Linked DNA regions of Mytilus edulis. The protein of the gene in region 1 purifies or fractionates together with the protein of each later gene. This does not show direct contact. Links are inferred from orthologs where the notes say so. Each region holds a gene or a part of one and is shown in the gene's direction. Other genes may lie near its edges. The genes, in order: WD repeat-containing protein 20-like and F-box/WD repeat-containing protein 5-like.

What was found.
Region 2: the proteins of WD repeat-containing protein 20-like (region 1) and F-box/WD repeat-containing protein 5-like purify together in Homo sapiens (co-immunoprecipitation; 3 studies listed by BioGRID and IntAct, counting the BioPlex papers as one, with this or other methods). This does not show direct contact. The link is inferred for Mytilus edulis from reciprocal best matches to the Homo sapiens genes WDR20 and FBXW5.

What each region holds. Positions count from the first base shown.
Region 1 is NC_092346.1:2,397,860-2,409,572, reverse strand, and holds the start of WD repeat-containing protein 20-like, read left to right. Parts: upstream 1-5,368; 5' UTR 5,369-5,405; coding exon 5,406-5,654; intron 5,655-6,890; coding exon 6,891-7,073; intron 7,074-10,604; coding exon 10,605-11,713. Other genes in the region: uncharacterized protein, read left to right, coding at 3,205-4,980. UniProt on the Homo sapiens protein: Regulator of deubiquitinating complexes. Activates deubiquitinating activity of complexes containing USP12. Anchors at the base of the ubiquitin-contacting loop of USP12 and remotely modulates the catalytic center of the enzyme.
Region 2 is NC_092345.1:10,322,181-10,333,893, reverse strand, and holds the start of F-box/WD repeat-containing protein 5-like, read left to right. Parts: upstream 1-5,124; 5' UTR 5,125-5,337; intron 5,338-11,713. UniProt on the Homo sapiens protein: Substrate recognition component of both SCF (SKP1-CUL1-F-box protein) and DCX (DDB1-CUL4-X-box) E3 ubiquitin-protein ligase complexes.

The sequences.
Region 1 (11,713 bases):
TTGTAGTTATATACATGTCTGTTCAGCTGTCAACAATATTGAAATTCAAGGTCCTCGATAAAAAAAAAATTCTTGCGTTCTATGATCTTGCTTTATATGGTTTTTTTTTAACTTACCAGTTTGATTTCTAACTAAAATATCTTTAAATACAGATAATAATTGTTTGCATAAAAATTGCTTCCAGGATCCAGCAATACTGATGTTTCTTAAAGTAAGGAAATCGAAGGAAAACGGGTCATTTTTAGCCACTGATTCTATTTAGAAAAAAATCCGCGGTCACAATGTATTTAATGTTAATAATTATAGGTCAAAGTACGGCCTTAAAGACGGAGCTTTGGCTCACCCAGAACAACACTCTCAGCAATCTCAGCTTGTTTTTGCATAAAATTTGCTTCCAGGTTCAAGCAATCCTTAAAGTAAGGAAATCAAAGGAAAAAGGGTGATTTTAAGGCATTTTACTGAGAGAAAAAAATTTGTTTTTTTCAGTCGGCGGCCCCCGAACCCCTGCCTCCTCTGAATTAGAACCCTAGTTACGGCCCTGATAGCATATTAATCCTGAATACACCGTTTGGTGGTGCGCCTGTCAGATGCGGAACGTACAGATAAGGTAATCGGTAACAGGTGAATATACTATTGGTATCGGTATCGGACTCGAACCGGAACTTCTTAATTATTGGCAATATTAATTACGTGGAAAACAAAAGGGCCTGGAGTGGTGTAATTTTTAATCTACATCTTTGTACTGTATTAGTTATATATAAAGTTGAATTCTTTGATTCGTCGTTTTTACGTGATGACGGCTGACAAATTTTAGTATTATAGATATAGACAATATTTATTAGCACAAACTTCTTCTTCTTCAGGAAGTCCACCCTATCTGCAGGGTCACCGCATTTAAAAATTTTGTTTATTTCTAAAATAGCGTTATTTAAAATTCTATCTACTGGTTAAAATTTAAAATAATAGTAACAGAGTTAGAATAGGATAAAACTAAAAATTAGTTAAAAACAGGAACTTGTATGTACACTAAGCATTCAGTAAAATTATAAAATGGATAAAAGTAATATCTGATCAGTTGTTTAAATTTCTCTTAGCAAAGGAAAGTGAAAGGAACTACTAATCTGTACTAGCATGGAAGTATTATATTGACAATATAATACTTCCATGGTACTAGTAATTGGTTAAATTTATTGACTAGTATGGTTTCATAATTAGTTTAAATATATGTTATTTACATTAAATGGTTATAACCCGAATAATCCAGTCGTTATATTATGATCACTTCGATCACTCCATCCTCGAGAAAAGTAGTGGATAGAGGGGCGGAATTATTCGAGTTAAAATGGTTATGGCATACAAAATTAGGACAATAAACTGACAATAGTTAATTTGATTATAATTATATTAGCGTGACAGTGGTATTCATTAACACATTATTAATGTTCATAAACAATTAAAAAAAAAGAACACAAACAAAAAATTAGGTTGCATATTAAAAGAAATACAAGTTATACAGATGTTCTCAATAAAAAAACAATCATTAATATACGTTAGAAAATTCAATAAAAAAAAATTCGGGAAAATTTCCCGAATTTTTCATTGTACTAATGAACTCAAAATCGTTCAATTTTTTTTATGTCATGTTTTGAAATCCCGGACCTGCGCAGAAATATATTTATCAGTCTAGTAAAATATAGGTATCTCTCTATCCATGCTTTGATAATTTTTTTATTTTGTCCTTTATTTGCATACATACGTCTTAGTATGCTATAAATCAAATATTAAAATTTGTGAGTCAAATCGGTGGTTATGGATTTGACAGCTAATGTCCCTTTAAGGTGGCTCGTGGGTACAAAAATTTTAGCAAAAAATTAAACCTCTATTTTTTCATTACAAATTTTATTTATTACACTATTAGTTGTTACTTTATGATATGGTACAAAAAACAACCCAAAAAAATGATTTGGTTTGGCCCCAGATGACTTTAAAAATTGAAAAAGCTCCAAATTATCTCCCTTTGCTGCAAAAATGCCATTTTTTGGCCTTAAATTTGAAATATCTTTTTTAACTCATCGGTGACCTATATTTTTTATTATTGTTTTCAAATAAGCTGTACATAAACTAAATAATTGTAAAATTTAAGCGATTTCTTATATTAGGTTATTTTTTTATTTCGATATTTCCTCTTTTTCTCCTATTAGTTCAACAGAAAAAAAGGACATTAACAAAAATGTATGCTTCTTCCAGAGGCAGATTTTAGCTTAAATGAACGGTGACCCCATTTTTTTATTTCATTTTTCTTTTAAGTATATGATAAAGTTCATTCATGAAAAAATATAGCGAAATCCTATATTAGAAAAAAAAAATTATTTATACCCAGGAGCCCCCTTAATAAGCATTGATACATAAATTATATATACTAAAAAGTTCTTAAAGAGATTTTAAAATATTTAGCTGAGCTCATAATATAACATTCAGTCAAGATTTCATACGAAGGATTTATATGGGGACGAAGTCCCCAATAACAGTAGAAAATTCAATAATAAAAAAAAAAATCGGGAAAATTTCCCGAATTTTTCATTGTACTAATGAACTCAAAATCGTTCAATATTTTTTTATGTCATGTTTTGAAATCCCGGACCTGCGCAGAAATGTACAATGTACTTCCTTTTCCCGGTCTCGTTTGTATGAAACTTTGAGTAAAATATATATTTATCAGTCTAGTATAAAATAGGAAGGAACGTGCAATACCAATTTCATTTTTAATAATTATTTGATATGAAAAAACGTTACCTGATGATAGCGTTTCTTTGTCTATATTGCATATGACGTCATAATTTGAATAACGTCACAACTAAAATCCCTAACAACAGAACCAAAATCGGAAACGTTACGATATTTCCGTTTCTTATTTTTAACAGTGTTTGGAGGGAAGGACTTCTCACAAAACTTTATGATAACGGTGTTAAAGGTAACATCTGGAATTGGATTAACAATTTTTTAAAGGAAAGACAAGCAAGGTGTGTGATTAACAACCATAAAGGAAGCTGGTTTGAAACCAAAATAGGTCTCCCACAAGGATCAGTTATAGCTCCACTTCTTTTTAATATCTTTATCAAAGACATTTTTGCTAACCTATCATGTAAAAAGTGTAAATTTGCTGATGATGGTACTGTATGGATAAATGGAAAGAACTTGAATGACATGGAGAAACAGGTACAAAAGGATCTTAACATAATCCAGGATTGGACCAAAAAATGGAGAATTAATTTGAGTATTGAGAAAACAGAATATTGTATTTTTTCAAGGAATGGTCCAATAAAGAAAATGAATTTACAACTAGAAGGTAAATTGTTAAAATATAACTGTAATCCAAAAATATTAGGAGTCACGTTAGATGAAAAACTATCATTTCTCAAACACATCGAAAATGTGGAACAAAAGGCACATAAAGCAATTAGCCTACTTAGAATGATCAAAGGAGTTGCAAAAATTTCTACAAAAATTCTACTTCAAATTTACCAAAGTATTGTCCTTTCCACCTTAGAATATGCAAGTAGTGTTTGGCAGACCTGTGAAACCAATATAACAGACAAACTGAACAAAATTCAACGAAAGGGATTAGCTATATGCCTTAATGTTACTCCAACATCAAGTGTAGAGACTTTGGAAGTAGTTTCTGGAATCCTACCAATACATCTGCGTAGAGAAGAAATTGCAACTCGTACACTTGCAAAAATTAATTCGTATGATATCTCCATTCCAATAAAACAAATCCTGGATGACTGGAAAACAATTGACATCCCTGAAAAATATGTATCTCCAGTGGGAAAAATGATTCTTCAGGCAGAAGACATGAAGGTATGTACAGGTGTTGATGTAAATGGTATAGAAGCAGAATTTGAGTTTAATGGGATACGAAGATATAAATCTCCTCCAGATTATTGGAAAAACCTTGGAAATTCCAAATCAAGATCAACAGACCAAAAAAATGTTGGAAAACTCATTATAATGGAAAAATTAAGTCATCTTCCTGCAAATTCATGTATAGCATTTACTGATGGGTCCTGTCTTGGTAGTCCTGGCCCTGTAGGAGCAGGTGCTGTCATCTTTCCATCAAATAATCAACCACAAATTGAAATTAGTAAAGCTGTATCCAAGAAAGGATCAATACTACTCGGAGAACTGATCGCCATTAAACTTGTTGTTGACCACTTTTTAATATCAGAAAACAGACAAAACACAGACTCAATTACACTTTTTTCAGATAGTCAGACCTCAATCGGAATTTTAACTTTAAACTGGAAATCAGAGAATTACATCAAAGTCATAAGAGAAATTAAGAAAAACATGAAAGTATTAATGATGAATGGAATTCCATTAAATTTTGAATGGACACCTGGTCATGCTGATATCCAAGGAAATGACATTGCTGATTCACTGGCCAAAAAAGGAGCTAAAGAAGCTGAAAAAATAGAAGAACCATCAGAAGTAACCAGGCAGGATATAAAACGTGCAGCAAGAGAAAGTGTTTTAAGAAAATGGCAGAACCAATGGGAATCAAGTCAACGTGGCAGAAATTATTACAATTATCATCAAAATGTCTGTCAGAAAATACCAAAAGATTTACCATCCAAATGGTCGTTTTCAATTACTACTAGTTTGAGAACAGGTTATTGTGATCTAAATGATTATAAATCCAAAATTATACCATCATCAGACAAAAACTGTTCCTGTGGAGAGCCAGAAACTGTAGAACACTATCTTTTACATTGTTCTAACTATGAGGAGGCTAGAGAGAGAATGAGAACATCTATTTACTTTATTACAGGAAATATACACATGGATTTAGACACCTTATTAGGAATCGATGAAGAAGACATTAATAGAGACAATCGAAATGAGATATTGTGCCATCTGGAAAATTATTTAACGGAGTCTGGTAGATTCAAAAACACTATACAGCAAAAAACACTATAAATCTATATCAAAATTAAGTCAAAATTTTTTAAGCAGCAGCCACAATTTCAATTAAGTACATGAGTGAACATTACATATGTGAAGAAACTACAAAAGAGGAAACGTACACAAGTGTTTACAGTGTCATTTGGGACACTTACTAAAGACTAAAGACTAAATATTTTTAAAAGTTACAAAAAAATAATTCATACAGACTTCTTCCCCATTTACAGGTAATGCCTGCCTCATATTATCTGCTAAAGATATGGTAAGAAAAGTTGATAATTTGTGAATGAATTTGACCGGTCATCTGAAAATAAGCTTGTTTAGTTATCAAGTGAACATGTAAACAAACACACGTGTTATTGTTTACCTATTTCACGGAAGTTTACATGACGCATGCGTACTTATCTTATCCGGGCACCTGTCGAAAACTCAATTTCAATATGGCGTCCCAAAGTGAGGGCGGAGGAAAAGATGACATTAAAACTCACTTTGTAACCCGGGAAGGGACGTACAAATTGATGCCATTGTCAGAATATTCAAAACCTACCCGAGTTCCCTATAATGGTCAAACTAACACTCCATCCAGAGTGTCATTCATTAATGTAAACGATGGTTCTCCGTCGCCAGATAGGATATGTTTCAACGTTGGCAGGGAATTGTATTTTTATGTTTATAAGGGCGTAAAAAAGGTATATTTTGCAAAGTTATGTTACAGAATATAAAAACAACTTGCATAAAATATATATGTACTTCACAATCACAAAACACCACTCCAGGTATTGTAAATTTTGCACCAGACTTGGAATAAATACACATAAAATTTATGATGAAACCGGTATTTAAAATTGAAGTCCGTTGAGGTTTGAATATTATGGCTTTTACTGACATTTTTTTCTTTTGAAATACTAATGATTAATTTATTAACCCAAATTTGCATTCAAACAAATATCATTGCAGAGGATGCATTGTCATGTTTTATTATGTCTATGATGAATAGACCAATTTCAGGTTTGTCTGCCATAGAAGGAAATAAATGTTTTCCTGTAGTGCTTTGAATGCCAGCAGGAAACATTTGACAACACACAGTAAACCTGTATTGGTATAGAAGAATGCAGGGTTCATATAAATGTTCATATTTATTTTTTTGCAGAATTTGCATTTAATTTGTTAATGGATGTGAATATGGTTTTAATTAATAGCTGCCGATATTCAATGTTTTAGGAGTCAAATTATTATTATTATTTTCTATAAAAAGTCGTAGAACATACAATTATTTTTGATAAAAAATATTACTTTTATTGCATGAAACTTTTTTACACTGAACATTTAACATGCATCATGTTCATTGTAAACAAGGAAAATAACAACCTTGGTATTGGGTACATGAGGCGAAGAACATGATAAACAAAGAAAACAGTCTTATGCTTCTACATTGTATTTTTTACACCTGAAAGACATTCCCAAAATTCTACTATGTAGAAGTAAGAAGATGTGGTAAGAGTGCCAATCAGACAATTCTCCATCCAAGTCACAATTTGTAAAAAGTAAACAATTAAAGATCAAAGTGTAGCCATGTTTGTTAAGGAATATCATATATTATTAAGTAAAAAATGAGGGGTAGGAAAATGTCAGTCATCAATAAAACAGTTACCCCAAAAATACTCATTAACATAATTGTCATAATTGACAATAAAAAACTCTGTATTGTATTGTATCAGCATGATCAAGAGTTCAACATACAATGTATATATACACCTAAAACTCATAAAACATCAACATGATCAACATACACCTAAAAAATCTTTTAAGGACAAATTTAGGTCAAACTCATCCAGTTGTAATTGGAAAAAAATATTGTGTATTGCTATGCAGTCGAATCGTGAAAAATATGAACAAACATATAAGATTTTGTATTTATTCTTCAGGCTGCAGATTTGACAAAACCTATAGACAAGAGATTATACAAAGGGACATTTCCTACATGTCATGATTTTAATAGAATGATTATATCCAGTGAGAGTGTTAGATTGTTAGTAGGCTTTACTGCAGGACAGCTACAGCTTATTGATCCTATAAAGAAAGAGCTGGGAAAACTTTACAATGAAGAAGTTTGTATTATTAAGTATTTAAATGTCTACTCTGAAAGAGGGGGGAAGGGAGGGATACATATTATGCCCCATGTTTTGTACCTCCTTGCTTTTACTACGACTTGATTATAAGTGTTTCTATCCACCTTTTGCAGTTCATTCAAAATTCCTACACAATGCAATTTGTATTAAAAAACTTATAAAGCATATATATATATATATGTATATATTTATATATCATACAATTCTTTTAGACAATTTAATACGATTTCATTTCTGCCTTTAATCTTTAAATCTAAAATGGGTAGGAGTTACTGTACAATAATCTGTTGATTATGATTTTTACCTAATTTTTTGTTTTTATAAATAAAATAATAAGACTTTGATGTTTTAATGAAATAATTTGCTTAAAAAGTGTGGTGAGGGAAAACCATGGTATATTATATGCAAATTGATGTACCATACTTTGCTAATTAAATATGCAACTCAACTAGAATCCAAAGGAAAGAAGGCGGAGCTTAGCTATGGTACAACATATTCATTTTCATGATTTCCATGGCTGAAGCTCCACCTTTTTTTGAAAGGTGTCCGCCTTTGAAATTTTCAGGAAACTGAAAAATGTACTAAAAGGTCAAGATCTTCATTTGTTTTCATTTTATAACAAAAAGCAATAAATCATGTGTACCCCATCTCAAGAAACTTTTTTCAAACTATATAGAATTGTTACGAGTTCCCTTAATTTTGGAAAAAATATTAAATGTTTCTTCTTTCACTTGTGAAAAAAAAAAAATGTAATACTATCGTTTCCTTTGCTAAAATTCAATGAAATTACGATTCAAATAGGGGGTAACTATACATGTACATGTAGAAAAGAAATAAATATCGGGAACAAAAATCTGTGAAAAACATAATTTTTTATTTGCGATCAATTAGGGGGGTGTACACTATCTGCGGTCCCTTGATCCGACACTGTTTAAATACAGTGTTTTATCATTAAAATTGTGTTTTAATAAATAATCTAAAAATCAAAATAATGAAATAACGGAAGAAAAGCAGTTTGTACGAAAACTATACATGTATAAATATGCATTTTTCAATTAGATGAACAACCTGTAAGTTATGATTAATTTTATGATACCTTGAAACTCAACAAAAAACAATAATCTTACCGCCATTAGAATAATAATTTAATCCTTGTCCCTGGAATCCGACATTTTTATTTACTTTCTGATGACCTTATGAAATTACCTGCCTCTACGATCATACACGGGGCGCAAAACTAAAAAATCGGGAAAATCCGACATTTTCTTGACTTTCTTCAAATTTGGGGATTCTATTACATGAAACACACAGAAGATCATACCGAGGCGCAAAAGTGACTTGCACGAGCTTCCATTTCATTGGATAAAACTGTAACGTGATCAATTTACAATATTAGTTCAAGGTCTTGAAGCTGTCAATCATTTTATTTATATTACAAATTTTATATACCCTGTGTCTTACTCATTAACATATTTAAATAAACTCATCCTTCGGATTCGTTTGTTTAAATATATGTTAATTGTAAGAACCATGTTATATATAGTACTTAGCTAGACAAGATCTGCATATATACATTGTACATATAATACATGTAGGTCAAAAGTGCTGATAATTGCATTGTCAGTCCACTTCTTAGTTATTTGCCCTGATGTACAAATGTACATGTACCCTTTGATGGGGATGGGGGATGGGGGTATTACAGCGTCCTTCACAACAATATAAAATGTGGAAATTTTTGGAAGGAGTTAAACCGCCGGACAAAAAGTTAAGATAACTGAAAATCAAAAGGAAGATCGAAATAAAGTATACGAAAGTGACAAAAGGAAACGCAATTACCAAAAATCATGGGAAAAAGATCGTGAATGGTTGCATTATATAGTAGATCGAATATTTCTGGACAGCGCTCCAGACGACCTATAGTCAGGCACCCTATGGTCGTCGTGAGGATTGCGATGACGTGGAAGACAATGTTGGATATTTTTTCTGTCCTTGATCCTGATTTTGATAAAGAAAATTATTGAGATTACCAAAGCCTTTATCAAAATCAGAATAAAGACTATTCCTTTGTTTAACTTGTGTAAAGGAAAGCACTAAAAATAAAATTAAACATCTGTTATTTATATTAGTGTTTGTCAAATTAATGTCATTTTTGCAGGACCAGTAGATTTGGAGCCGGACCAGTAGAGTTTTCAGTCCACTGGTCCAGCTGGCCAGTACACAAAAAAGCTTAAATTCGACCCCTGACCTAGTTATGTAATTTAGGCAAAAACTCTTAAAGACGGAGAGAAACTGAAAAAGAAGAAAAAAGATCAGCAATACAATATAAAAAAACAATATATCTAAATCATGAACTATATTCTAGTCTTTCAATATAAATGTTGAAGATTGGCCATTGTTGAATATATTTATAATGTATCAAGCTGAGACCTAGTTTAGGAATTACTGCCACTTGCTGAGACAGTCAAAGTGAAGAGTGCAGTTCATGTTCAAAACAAGGAATTTTTGTCTCTTATATCATCAGGATCATTAGATTCCTTACTTAAGGTGGTACCTAACACTACAGGGAGATAACTCTGTAAAGTTAGCTAAACGTGGTTTAATTACGTTGTGTTGGAAAAGGAATATTAAGCTTCTCAATGATCAAAATTGGTGTTTGTCAAACTACTATATAACCAGTGTAATTTTTCTGACAAGACGATTGGTTCAAAATTTTTGAATTTTTTGAATTTTTGTTAAAGGGTCAAAGTAAATAATTTTAAAAAATTTTATGAAAATTAAACGAGCCAAATTAATTTTAGTGAAAGTGTTGGGTACCACCTTAATTTACTCCAGGTTTATGTAGCTTTTATTAGGTAAAACTAAACCTTCCTGTATAAGAGAGGCAAACTATACCACAGGGACATTCAAACTCATACATTTAACTGACAATGCCAAAAAAGAAAAAGACCAACAGCTAACAATAGTACACAAAATATAACATAACATAGAAAACTAAAGACTGATCAAAAGGAACACCAACAAAAACTGGAGGCGATCTAGGGTGCTCCTGACGGGTAAAGAGATCCTACTCCACAAGTGACACCTTGGAGAAGACATTACTAAGTTGTAAAACCTGTGTCTAATCCATTTGTCATTTTGAACAATAAAATATGTTTAAACTAAACAAGTGACACCTGTCATGTTGCTCATGTTAAAACAAACCCGGTAATAAAGCTAGTTTTGTAGGTCACATTAGGGAAAAGGGGACAGGTGTAATGTAAAAGGGGACATAATGTAAAAGGAGTTTTACTTCCATCAATGGCATCATGTCCATGTTATCAAATTCATTGACATAATTATAACATACCTAGGCCTGTATTCTTGTTACTAAAAGTGAACTAAGACATTAAAAATCAGACTAATCATGTTGGTACAATTGGGTTCATTATCATATAGCATTAATATGTTTCATCAAGAATATGCTTTTAAATTGCATTTAGTGTCTAAGATATAAATTTTTTTTTTCTTCAGAGATTAATAGACAAAACCAAAGTCACATGTATAAAATGGATCCCTGGATCAACCAATCAATTCATAGTATCACATTCTAGTGGCCAGATGTATATTTATAATGAAGAACTGCCGTGTGGCCCCACCCCTCCTCATTATCAACCGTTTAAACAAGGAGACAGTTTCTCAGTGTTCACGTGTAAAACAAAAAGTACCAGAAATCCATTGTACAGATGGATGGTCGGGCATGGACCAATTAATGAATTTGCATTCTCCCCCTGTGCTCAGTATCTGGCTGTCGTGGGACAAGATGGCTACCTGCGTGTTTTTAATTACAATTCCATGGAATTAGTAGGATCAATGAAAAGTTACTTTGGTGGTTTATTATGTGTGTGCTGGTCACCCGATAGTAAATACATTGTAGTAGGAGGTGAAGACGATTTAGTAACAGTTTGGTCTTTTATTGAAAAACGAGTTGTTTGTAGAGGTCAAGGACATCGATCATGGATAGGGGTCGTTGCATTTGACCCTTATACATCAGTGTTTAGTGAAGAAGAGAGTGACTCTTCAGACAAAAAGACTGGGTCTGGTAATCATGAAAATGTTGTAAATGGTAGCCTACAATCCAATAGAAATTCATTAGAATGTCCGTCAACATCATCATCATCGAATATCACTACATATCGATTTGGGTCAGTGGGACAAGATACAATGCTATGTTTATGGGATATTACAGAAGACATTATCAAACAACCATATGGACGCTCACGGACAAGTATTCTGGTCACACCAAACGCTTCACATACATTACCTAGATGTAATAGTTTACCGCAGTCCCAAAAATCCAATTCAGTAGCAAGTGACCTTAGTTTAGATGGGAATGCCCATCCTGTGACTAATCATACATCTAGTTTAAGTACAAAATTTGCAACATTAACTTTAGCAGATAGAAAAGAAAGCCAAGAAAGGAAGGAACATAAAAGAAATTTTAGTTTAGCAAGTCGAAGTGTAGACAAAAACAGTATATTAAGATCTAACCATGTAAAACCTGTAGACGATTCAATTAAACTGTTAGGCACATCAGCTTGTCCTCGATTAGAGGAATCACCCATCTTAGAACCTTTAGTGTG
Region 2 (11,713 bases), on another chromosome or scaffold:
GTGGTAGTGGCATCGGTTGTGATGGTGCCTGTTCAAGTGACATATCAGTCAACGAAATGCCATCTTCCTTAACTGAAGTGTTCTTTCCACTAACATGGACGGTCACTACATTTTAACCATCGTCACAAATAGGGGTTGATTCTGCAGCATTAATATCGAGTGCAAAAACGCAGTCCTGTCCTACTTCAACGCTAGCGTAATCGTCACTAGTAGAAATGAGAGCTTGTTTCCCGGCACACTTGTAGCATTATGTCACTGTTACTCTTTGTGTCGTCTCAAACACTATCATATATTACTCCTGCTCCAATTCCTATTCTGACTCCGTTTCATCAGTCTGACGGATGCTTACTTAATGATAATGTCGTTCTGCTGTTGTGATTTAATGTTTATCATACACTTAGGTGGCAAGAATAGATCATCGTCTGTCGTTGACATTGACAAACATTGCATGTATAGCCAAATGTGTTGCTATTTGCATATGGCTTTCACTGATACAGCACCAAGTGATAACATGGAAGCGTCTGTATGCAGATTAAAAGGTTGGTTATATTGTGGAAAACCAAGCACTGGTGACTTCTGTGGTTGTGATTCCAAGTTGTAAAATGATTCCCTTGTGTATTCTACTCCTCTCTTTTATCTTGTTGTTCATCCCATACACGATTTTTTTTGTTGTTTGTAGTTAGCCTTGTACCTCTTAGAATTTGTGGTGCTGGCATTTAATCTGTCAAAGGCCTTGTAATCTTGCTAAAGTCTTTCACAAACTTTTTAAAGTAACCAACAAAGCCGTGAAATTATCTGACCTTTTCTTGTAATGTTGGTTTCGGTCGATTCTTTATTGTTTCTAACATGGATTGATCATGCTCTATATCATTCTTGCAAACTATCGTATAGCCGGTTATTTTCGATGGATTTAAATTTTTGCTTATTTTCATGAAATACTGGCCGTGACAATATTTCATTGTGAATAATGTCTATTATATAGTGTTGTCAAATCGTACACTTTTGCCTAACCGGTTACTCGGATAATCGTTCGACCGATGAACCGGTTAACCGGTTCTTAAAGTTGAACGAAGTGTGAAGGCCTTATTTATAGTACCCTACATATAGATATAAGAAGATGTGGTATGAGTTTACCTTATATACATTTGATGTTAGAGTTATACCTCTGTAGTTACTCAGAGTGTGTAGACCCACCTTTGTGTATGGGTATAATGATTCCTTTATGCCATTCATCTGGGATTATTTCTAGATCTGTAATTTTTATAAAAATATGCACAAGGGAGTTCAACAGGATGTCCCCACCATATTTAAGGAATTCGTGAGGAATGCCATCAGTACCACAGGCTTTTCCAGATTTGAGACTTTTCAAAGTCTGTGAAATTTTATTTTCGTCGAAAGTAACCGATAGGGGAGAATCTGATATTAATATATTTTCGTCAATATTTGTAATAAGGTTTTTAACATCTTATTGTATTATAAACTATATATACGTATTATAATGAAACATACATCTGTTAAAAAACGGGCACAGGACGTTTGCGCTTTTTTACCTGTAAAACGATAGGACATTTGCGCTTCAAATACTATGGACATTTGCGCTTTACATTTTGATTCACCTGTATTACATGACCGGACATTTGCGCTTTTTTCTTACAGTCGTCTACCTGTAATTTTAATCAGACGTTATCATTACTTTAATAAATTTAACTAATATTTGTCATTAGTACGACAAATGGTCTAGAATCCTTCCCTTGCCCACAAAAGTGAACAGTTCGACTCGACTCATCCTGCTGTTTTATATCTTTTTGAAGAGTATCATTGAAACAGTCTATGTCTCTGTGAATTAAATTAAGATTCGTAATATTGATGAACAGGCACCCCTGTCAAAAATTGAGAAAAGGGAAACTTTAATATGTATTTGAAATGTGGGCGAAATACTAAATATGTTCACTCCTTTGGCTTCAGATATCAAGCGAAAACTGACCTGTGATGACTGTGCGTGTTTTTATGTCTTTAGAATGTTTACTTTTAGTCCAGTGTATATAGACTTTTAAACACATATCAATGTGCTATGACATGTATGTTCTATATGAAATGTGTTTTAAAAAAAATATTACTTAAACTCTGCCAGGTCACACATGCCAGTTCCAAGACCGGTTTAAAAAGCAGGATCGTCATAAAAACCAAATATTGCAAAAGCGCAAATGTCCTATGTTAAAAGCGCAAATGTCCTTTTTTAAAAAGCGCAAATGTCCTATGATTTGAAGCGCAAGTGTCCTAAAAAAATAAGCGCAAATGTCCTATGAAAAAGCGCAAACGTCCCACGCCGTAAAAGAGCATGTATACTAATTATGTTTTCTTAAGATTTTGCCCCAAGCTGATAGACAAAATTAATTCTAATTAATTTTATGTTTTTTTTTTATCAATAATAGCAATCAATATACTGGACAATTGAACTGTCAAATTAATTACCACGACCACAATTTTTAAATAAAACATACCTATTTAATGATTTCAATACAAATTTATATCAAATCTAAAAAAAAAAAACAAAAAAAAAAACGGTTAACCGGTTAGCGTTTTTGGTATTCGGTATTTGGTCGTTCAATCGGTTAACCGTTGACAACACTACAGTTTTATAACATTATTTCACTGTTAAATTCTGTCCATAATAATATTTTTAAACAAATTATTACAAAATTTAAAACAATACACACACGCAAGTATAGAGCATGCACATTTTTAGATCTATAACTGAAATTATTTTGCAAAGCAAGTATATGTATTTTACATTTCAAACAAATATGTATTTGAACATAATCTAGTTTTAAATTTACATACAGTTAGATATATAAATATTAATAACATAGTAACAGAGATACATTATAAATGGTTAAAGAGGCACTAGCTGTCAAATTTATGTTCCATGATTTGGGTAAAATTATTCTATTTGATTTATAGCAATGTTAAACAGTTATCCAAATGATATCCAAATTATATAAAGTCTAAAATAATCAACTTACAATGCAGAGGCTCGATAATATGAAGCTTCGTTTCGTGTGCATTTTAGTCGAGACGCCATATAATTAACTATCGAGTTGAACTCCGTATACCTCCGATGGCCATATATAAGCAATAAAAACATACATATAGATAAAAATAGAACCTGGACTCGTCCATTTGGATTTTTGTCTAGGTCTGAATTATTTTCATATCATAGATTAAAAATATATGTTAATCATCGTTTTTACCTGTATAACTGAATGACTTTTATATGGATAGAATCAGTCAATTGAATAATTTACCATTGTTTCACTTTCAAAGTTGACATTCTTTCCCTTGAAATAATCCAGTACGCATGACTGATGCGTTATCCATCTCTAGCTAGAGGTTAAATTGAAGTTCACATGAATATGGATTCAATACGGTCGACTTATTCACATCAGAGACAAATATACACATGTGTATATATGTCTCTGTTCACATCCAAGTGAATGCCGATTTATCATCAATTTTTCTTAGCCTATTTTGACAAAATCGAACTATACTGGCTGCTTTAAAAGAAGGTTTATTTCGCCATTTCACTTTCATTAATGATTGAACAAAAAAAATCATATATTATTAAAAAATATATATATGACGTTACGCACCTCATTGGAAAATCGGTGTAGTTGGCAAGATGCAAGTCCAAAATATATAATTTTGTGATATCATATTCATAACTAATTATACGCATTTTAAAAAATAATGTTTTTTTAAAAATAAAAACGAAAAAATAATCGTTGAAACTATGTTTAATGCTGCATGCGACAAGCTTCATTTATAAAAAAAATGCTATTTTTAGGTTGTCCTTGGTAACATATTTCATTAATTGTAACCACGAAACTATGATTTTCGTCTAAACTATTTAATATTTTGAAAAATGTTTTTTTCCATTATTTAACAGAAAGGTTCCTTCAGTTTGTTTCGCATTTTTTTATGACGTTATGATGACGTCATAAAAAATAAAAGCGTTCCATACTACAAGGGCAAACCACGGGGAAAAAATTGGGGTTCCAGATTTGAGAATCAAAAAACATTTATCTAAAATGGAAAAAGTTTAGTTTTTGTATTTACTACATCAATGTTAATTTGCTTAATTTTATGAATTGAAAGACAAATATCCTGAAAAGTGATATATGGTAATTTTTGAGCGATTTCTCAAAGGCTTACAGTTGTCGCACCGCCTTTTTTAGACGTTAAGCTTATCAGTGCTCTAATAATGGTAGAATTTTATGCTTTTTTAAAATGTTATTTTTCTTAATTGTTCAAAAAACTAAAATACATAAATTTTCGATAAGTAGTTAAAAAGCGCCGTCGATTTTGCGGAGTCTTATAAGAATGTCGCACTTGCTTTTAAAAAAACAACGTTTCAGTCGAATTTTTGTTTGAACGTTACGAAATATTCGCGACGTTGTGTTACGCCAGAGACATATATACACATATATATGTCTCTGGTAACGCTTACATGTACGAACATCGCGCGTAACGTCTATATATTTCGCGCCGTAGCTAATGCCCTTTTGATACATTTAAGAATTGTCTAACATGATATTATACGGAATAAATATAAGTGATGTACTGACGATCACTTATACTTGTTTCAAATTGAATGTTCTAATAATATTCATAAATAGGTTGACGAATTTTTCACAGCAGCGCCTTTTGGAGGTATGGTAGTACTGAATTGTCCTTCTTTTACAATACCCCCATTTCATGAGACAAAATTTCATGACAAACTGTATATGAAATTTTGTCTCAATATACACTGCCTATGACCTCCCTTCGACAGAATAAAGTTTCATAGTACAAAATTATATTCATCTATGAAAAAATTGTCTATATATACAGTAAAAATTTCATTATGAAAATTTGTCCTTCGCTGGACATTTTTCATAGATGAGAACAATATTTCATGATACATATCCATGAAATATTGTCTTGGTGACAATATTTCATAGGAAAATATTTTGCTTTACATATATACGTGTACGTATAAAACTAGTTTTGAGATAGTTAAAGGACATGTCTCATTGTCTTGAAAATAGCCGGATTAGCATGACGTAAATTAGCAGATTCCAGTATTTTTATTATCTCCCCTGATAAATGGTGGAAGAAAAATAAATCGATCAACAGACTCAAGATTGAAAACAATGACATAATTTCCATTTCTTGCATCTTTATAGATCATCACGTTATAATACTTCACTATCTTTTAGAGATATTGAACCATCGATCTTAGATCTGAACTCTATAATACACTTGGAAATTGACAACCAGTGGGCCGATAATTTCTAGGTATTATAAAACTAAATTTATGTGATAGAAAGTGAAATTATTTTAAGTTTATGTAAATAGGTTGGGACTAGTTACCCAAATAGGTAACAATATAACCCGTTTGTCATTAAATAGCTCAAATAGGATTTAAATGAACAGTTCAGAAATTGATTTTTTTTGCAAGAGATCTTCCTAAATTTATATATATCATTCAGAAAAATTTGATGGTCTTAAAGGGAAACTTCGCAAAAAAATCAAAAATTGATATTATGTCCATTCTGTATAAAAATGCTCAAATTTATAGATATTAAAGTTTTATTCCGCTAAATAAGAGATCACCATCGATTTTAAATTTTGAGTATCAGATCTCTACTCTCCGCCATCTTGTCACCTTCTCCGATGAAAAATCCCGATATGTCAATAAACCACAAAGGAACAAAACTACAGTAAACGATGTAGTCGTAATTGCGTGTCGATATCTTGTCAATCGTACGGTTGTTTTATCTGACTGACTAACTTGATACGGAAAATGGTCTTATGTTTTTAAATAACCATATAGTCTGTTATTTTTAAACTGATAATATTGTAATTAGTTAAAAAGTCAAAGTTCAAATCATAAAATGATAAATAAGTGTTCCGTGGAAATTGTTTTCGAAAATCTAATTCGTTCATAATTCTTTCAAGTAATAAACTTTATTTAAATAAATTCGGATCTTCTCTCATCTGATCACCAGCATGGCTAAAGGTATTACTCCCAAAGGTATTGGAAGGGGTGTAAGGTGACACGTCCAGGTATTCAATCGATTTCCTGTCCGGCGGGCTTGCAAGTTCATGCATCGTTTCACTTCTGTAGGTATTGATCAGTGTACACGACCGTTACTTATAACTTTCCATTTTGAACTATCAGGTGCATGTATAATATACATTTTTGTCTTGCGTGTCCGAAAGTGATATAATATACTAGCCATTACTGAACTCATACGCTTGTTTATAAATAACATTTCTGGTGTAAAGAATATTATTTATAAATTAAAAAAAATACGAAAAAAAATAATTGAAGAAATACAAATCTATTTACATATTTTTCCAAGGGTTAATTTGGGAAAATGTAATATATACTCGTTGTCAATAGTTTAGGACAGATTAGAACATACCACAATTATTGATATAAAAAAATGTGCGCACTTGTCGACGATTCGTGTATACATACGCCTGGTAGAAAGTTACGGAACTATAGTCAGTAGCGCAATTTAAAATATGTATACATGTATACATTGAACATAAGAAAGAAACATACATTTTGTGTAAATTGTGGTAAAAGTTTTGTAAATAGACTAGTCCACGTCTGCCAACAGTATGTAATCAACGAATTCGATAGACTATTGTATACCAAAAGAAGAAGAAGAAAAAAGAAACAATTTGATTTAAATACAGGTCAATTTATAACTTGCTTTGGTTCATCGAAGTTAAGAATATAGTAAACTCACAGATTTATATATCAATTAGATTGTTCTCGAATAAAGGACGAAATTCGTCATCATCACAATTGTTCCAACATTCATGTAAAATATATGCAACTGGACGTACACTAATAATCCCCAAGGAATGTGAATATTTTCTAGGAAAACTATTGAGTATCAATTTCGGGATTTATTTTCTTTCTTGATATTCAATGACATCAATTTAAAGAATAAACTGCTTCTCGGATATTTGTCCGCTTTAGGGGTATTCTTGCAAGTTGAACAGACTTATAATAACATTCAAAAATAGGGAAAGATAACATTAAATTCGTTGTCTTTTAATTTTAAACATCGTTGATCAAATAGTTATTTAAGTATATATATACGTTGGGAGACGACGATTATTATAGTTGTCTCAGATTTTAATAAGGACGTTCCCGATTATGAATAAATTTGGTTGACGTTTATCACACTTGAAAAGAATATCTATTCGTAATTTTTCGATTCCATTACAAAAATATTTTTTTCTTTATTCGTACATATTATATTCCGCTTCGGTAGAGTTATCTTCAGATAGTTTCATATATTAATTAATACATGGCTTTCAAAAGTCTAAATGTAAGTGTTCTCGTACATTTTTTCACCTAATAAAGACAAATAAAAATGATTTAGTAAAGCTATTTCTAATTTCTAAGTCCCCCTTTTTTATGAGACATAAATCAAGGACAAGACTTGTATATCATTTCATTCTGACATATGAATTAAGTTTCCCGTCTTTAACCGAAAATTGTGTATTTCTTAGTAAATTAACTTATTTGAATTCAAATAAATAATAGCACCAAATATAATTAAATAATTCCACGGCGACCAATTTTTATTTGTCACCAACTTGAATATGTATTTTTAATGTGTGTATTAAATGCTACCACTGATCCGAATAGACAGTCACACCTGGCAAGGTGTGCCCTAGAGGCGTGGTTAAATACCGAAGTGCAAATAACAATTTACCTTTCAACAAGCCATCTACGAGTATTGCCACAGAACCGTGAATACACACATCGTATAAACCTAGCCATAGCAGAGATAGTAAAAGGTCAATAATAGTACACCAACATATTGTCTTTACAGATTATTGTACTTTAATTTGTTCACCTTATCAGTCCGAAAATGCATTTATTAAATATAAATTTATAACTTTTTGTGTTGTCTACAAAAATAATTCGAATATATACGTTTAACATAGATAATTTATCTCACGAATGAGAACAATTGAACGTCTGTGCGTTTTATCTTCTTATTATCGGATGGTTATTAGATAAAGCATAAGTCATCGGCGCGCTTACGATTACGTTAAAATATGATTAAAAACCAAGACTTTTAATGATTGAATTTTAAATCCCGGCATGCAAAAATCAGGAGAAAACGTCACGACCTACAGGAAGTAGTTGATATTTTTTCATTAATTATTGAATTTCTCCTTTATTACTGCACATATAGCGATAAAACTTTGTGAATATATATATTATGTCATAATGAACATATTTAAACCATAAGTAAAAAATCGTGAATTTTCCCTTTAATTTAATTTTTATGTATAATTTAGGTTAGTAAATCCCTTTACTGTCAGACATCAAACGGTCACTTTTGGTTGCCATTAGCGTCAAATTGATCAAAATTTTATCGTCATTCATCAAAATATCATAATTGTGATTCGTCAGAGGTCTCATATTAGGCCTAAAAAAAAATAATGTTGTGTTTCCGATCACCCCCATGAAATTTTTAAGGGACGGTAGGTAGGTTTTTTTTTTTTTTTGTTTTTTTTTGTTTTTTGTTTTTGTTTATTTTTTGTTTTTGTTTTTTTTTTATAATATTATGCTTCATTGCTGTCTCGGTTTTGTTTAAAGGCATGGACACTAGTTTGGGATTTAATAGAAAGAGATTGATTACCCACTTTAAAAAAATCTCCCCGAGATAACTTTTAGTTTATCCCTTTTAAAATCCCCCTGAAATAACTTTTAGTTTACCCCCTTTTAAAATACCCCCGAAAAAAAATTTAAGTCCAAACCTAAAAAAAATTTTGGGCAGCACTTCCCCAAGAAATAAGCTTTTTAAACCCAATTCCCCTATTTCCGGACCAAAAGTTTGGGATTGTCCGAGAAAGAAATTGAGAAGATGTGGGGCAGATTCATTTATAGGAACATGAACCAAACATCATCCCAAACCTACAGATAGACAAATATATCATATACACTGTACCTGGCAGGACACTTTCTTTTGGCAAAGCATCTGTGGCTTTTCATCAGAATGTCTAAAGCGTTGATTGGCTGACCAGTTTCAGATGGATTAATATCATGTTCATTTTGAAGAAGGGTCTGGCATGAAAATTTGATAAATTTAATTCCAAAAGATTGCATTGTTCCAACAGTTGTGTTATTGTCATCAATCCCCAGTCATTTTTGCCAAAATTTGTGTTGTGTATTTTTTTTTCATCGATGTTTATTGTTAGACATTGGATGAATTTCATTGCTAATGTCAAAAAAGGTGTTACTTTCTGTAAAATTTAGAAATGGTCACACTTTCCGCGTTGAACATTGAATAGGACGCGTTGTGTTGACATGTTCAAACACTGACAAACGAAAATAACTACTGCGCATGCTCCCGCATATATAATTAGATTCCACTTTCCAGTACATTCTAAAAATAAGCCTCGAGTTTAAAATTAGCGTTGTTTTCTTTTGGGGCGATAAAAAGATCGAGGGACTTAGAATTTTTTATTTTCTTTCAGAAAAAACGGTCGGTAGTATACAAATTTTTTTTTTTTCCCACATCAGCTTTAAAAACTTTTGAGTCGGGGGGTCTGAAGGACGGTCGGTCGGGTGACCGGAAACACAACATTTTTTTTTTAGGCCTTAGGGTAACAGGAATGACTGAATAACACTGTTATTATCCGAATAACACTTGAAATTTTAATATTAGCACATTATTGGTGACTTTTAAACATTGATTATTCCATAATAATACATTATCGATGTATTTAATAACTTAAAAATGATTTACAAAAAGCAGATAAGTTCACAAAGATCATTTTATTTTTTGTGTGTGCATACAACACTGTCCAACATGGTGGCTATTGTGATTTCCGTGGTCACCATGTTGGATGTACACACTAAATTTAAAAAGATCTTTATGAACTTACCTGCTTTCTGTAAATCATTTGTAAGTTATAAAATACATCGATAATATACTATTATTTAATAATCAATGTTTTAAAGTCACCAATGTGTATTAATATTAAAATTTCAAGTGTTATTCGGTCATTCGAGGTACCGCTTATATTATAATTGTTACTGTCATTTTTGGAAAAAATTTAACATGATTCGTTTAAATCAGTCGATTTTTTCATTGTCTTAGGAAGTTACATTTTATTGTCATGTACCAAAATTTACATCATTTGACAAGAATTTTTACCATTATTTTTCATGAAAGTACCCCCAGTATGACCCACAATAAATAAGTTACAGGATCACTATATTTACACTTTGAATTCCTCTTATTCATCCTGTTTACTACTGTAAATTGGGTTATTTTGGTTAATTTGTTGCCTTCGATGAAAGTGCCAAAATTAAACACACCAAAAATAAAGCAAACATTAAAAATTGAAACGCCAAAATCATGTACAACAATAAAGTAATGCTAATTGTTGGGAAAAATATTTTATTTTATTACATCTTCCGTATATTTGCTACAATTTTTTACATAGCCAAATTTGCAAATAAATACTTTATATATAATTTGACAACACTATATATGATATAAATTGTAAATTTTCTGAATTTGTTAAGAAAACACAAGTCAACATGAATTTTTATTCACACATGTCATAAATATGCCAGGCTATTGTTGATGTCGTTTTTGGTTATTAAAATATCAAATCTCCTTGTAATCCTTTATCTTCACTGAAACATTTTAACAGACAATACAAATACTGACCTAATTTTTCACCTGTAATCTTGGGATGATCGTGAGTTGAGTTATGGTCATCAGCTTTACCCCAGTGTTTTTTTTAGGTGTAAAAAAAAATGTCTTGTCATGCTTGTAGAAGAACATATTTAGATTTTGCCACATGTTTGCATATACAAAACTGGTCTATACAAGATGATTTACATTGTGTAGAGGAAGGGTGCAATGATAACAATATGTTCATCAATAAAAATAAAACAAAATATATGATTATTGGAACGAAGCAAAGAGCAATGCCTCATTACAATGAGAGTTGTTTAACTATTAACAATCAAGTGATACAATCTTCCACATGCGAAAGTCTTTTAGGCATTAAAATTGACCCTTCCCTAACATGCCGATGGACAAACCAAATTGAGGTGATCTGCTCAAAAATATCATCAAGACTATATCTACTATTAAAGATTAAAAAATTTCTAAATCTAGACTGCAGAAAATTATTTTATAATGGTTATATCTTGCCACTAATTGATTATTGTTGAATAGTGTGGAGTAGTTGTAGCAGTGAGGGTTCAAAAAGGATATTAAAATTACAAAAGAGGGCTGCTACATTTGTACATTAATACTAGAAACAGACCCATTCGCTCCTTCTGCACCCTTATTCAAACACTTAAACTGGATGACAGTTGAACAGAGAATAAAATATCATAAGTTAGTGATGACATTTAAGTGCATTAAATAATGCCCCATCATATCTTACTAACAAATTTCATTATCTTTCAGACAGAAATCCATACCCCTTGAGAAATGCTGTTCAAGGAAACCTCATACTCCCTAAACCAAAAACAGAATTGTTCAAAAAATCTTTTATGTATTCTGGACCATTCTTGTGGAATAATTTACCAATAACGTTAAGAAATATTACAAATGTCAGAGCTCCAGATCAGCTGCGTATTTGCGTGATCACGCAATACAAA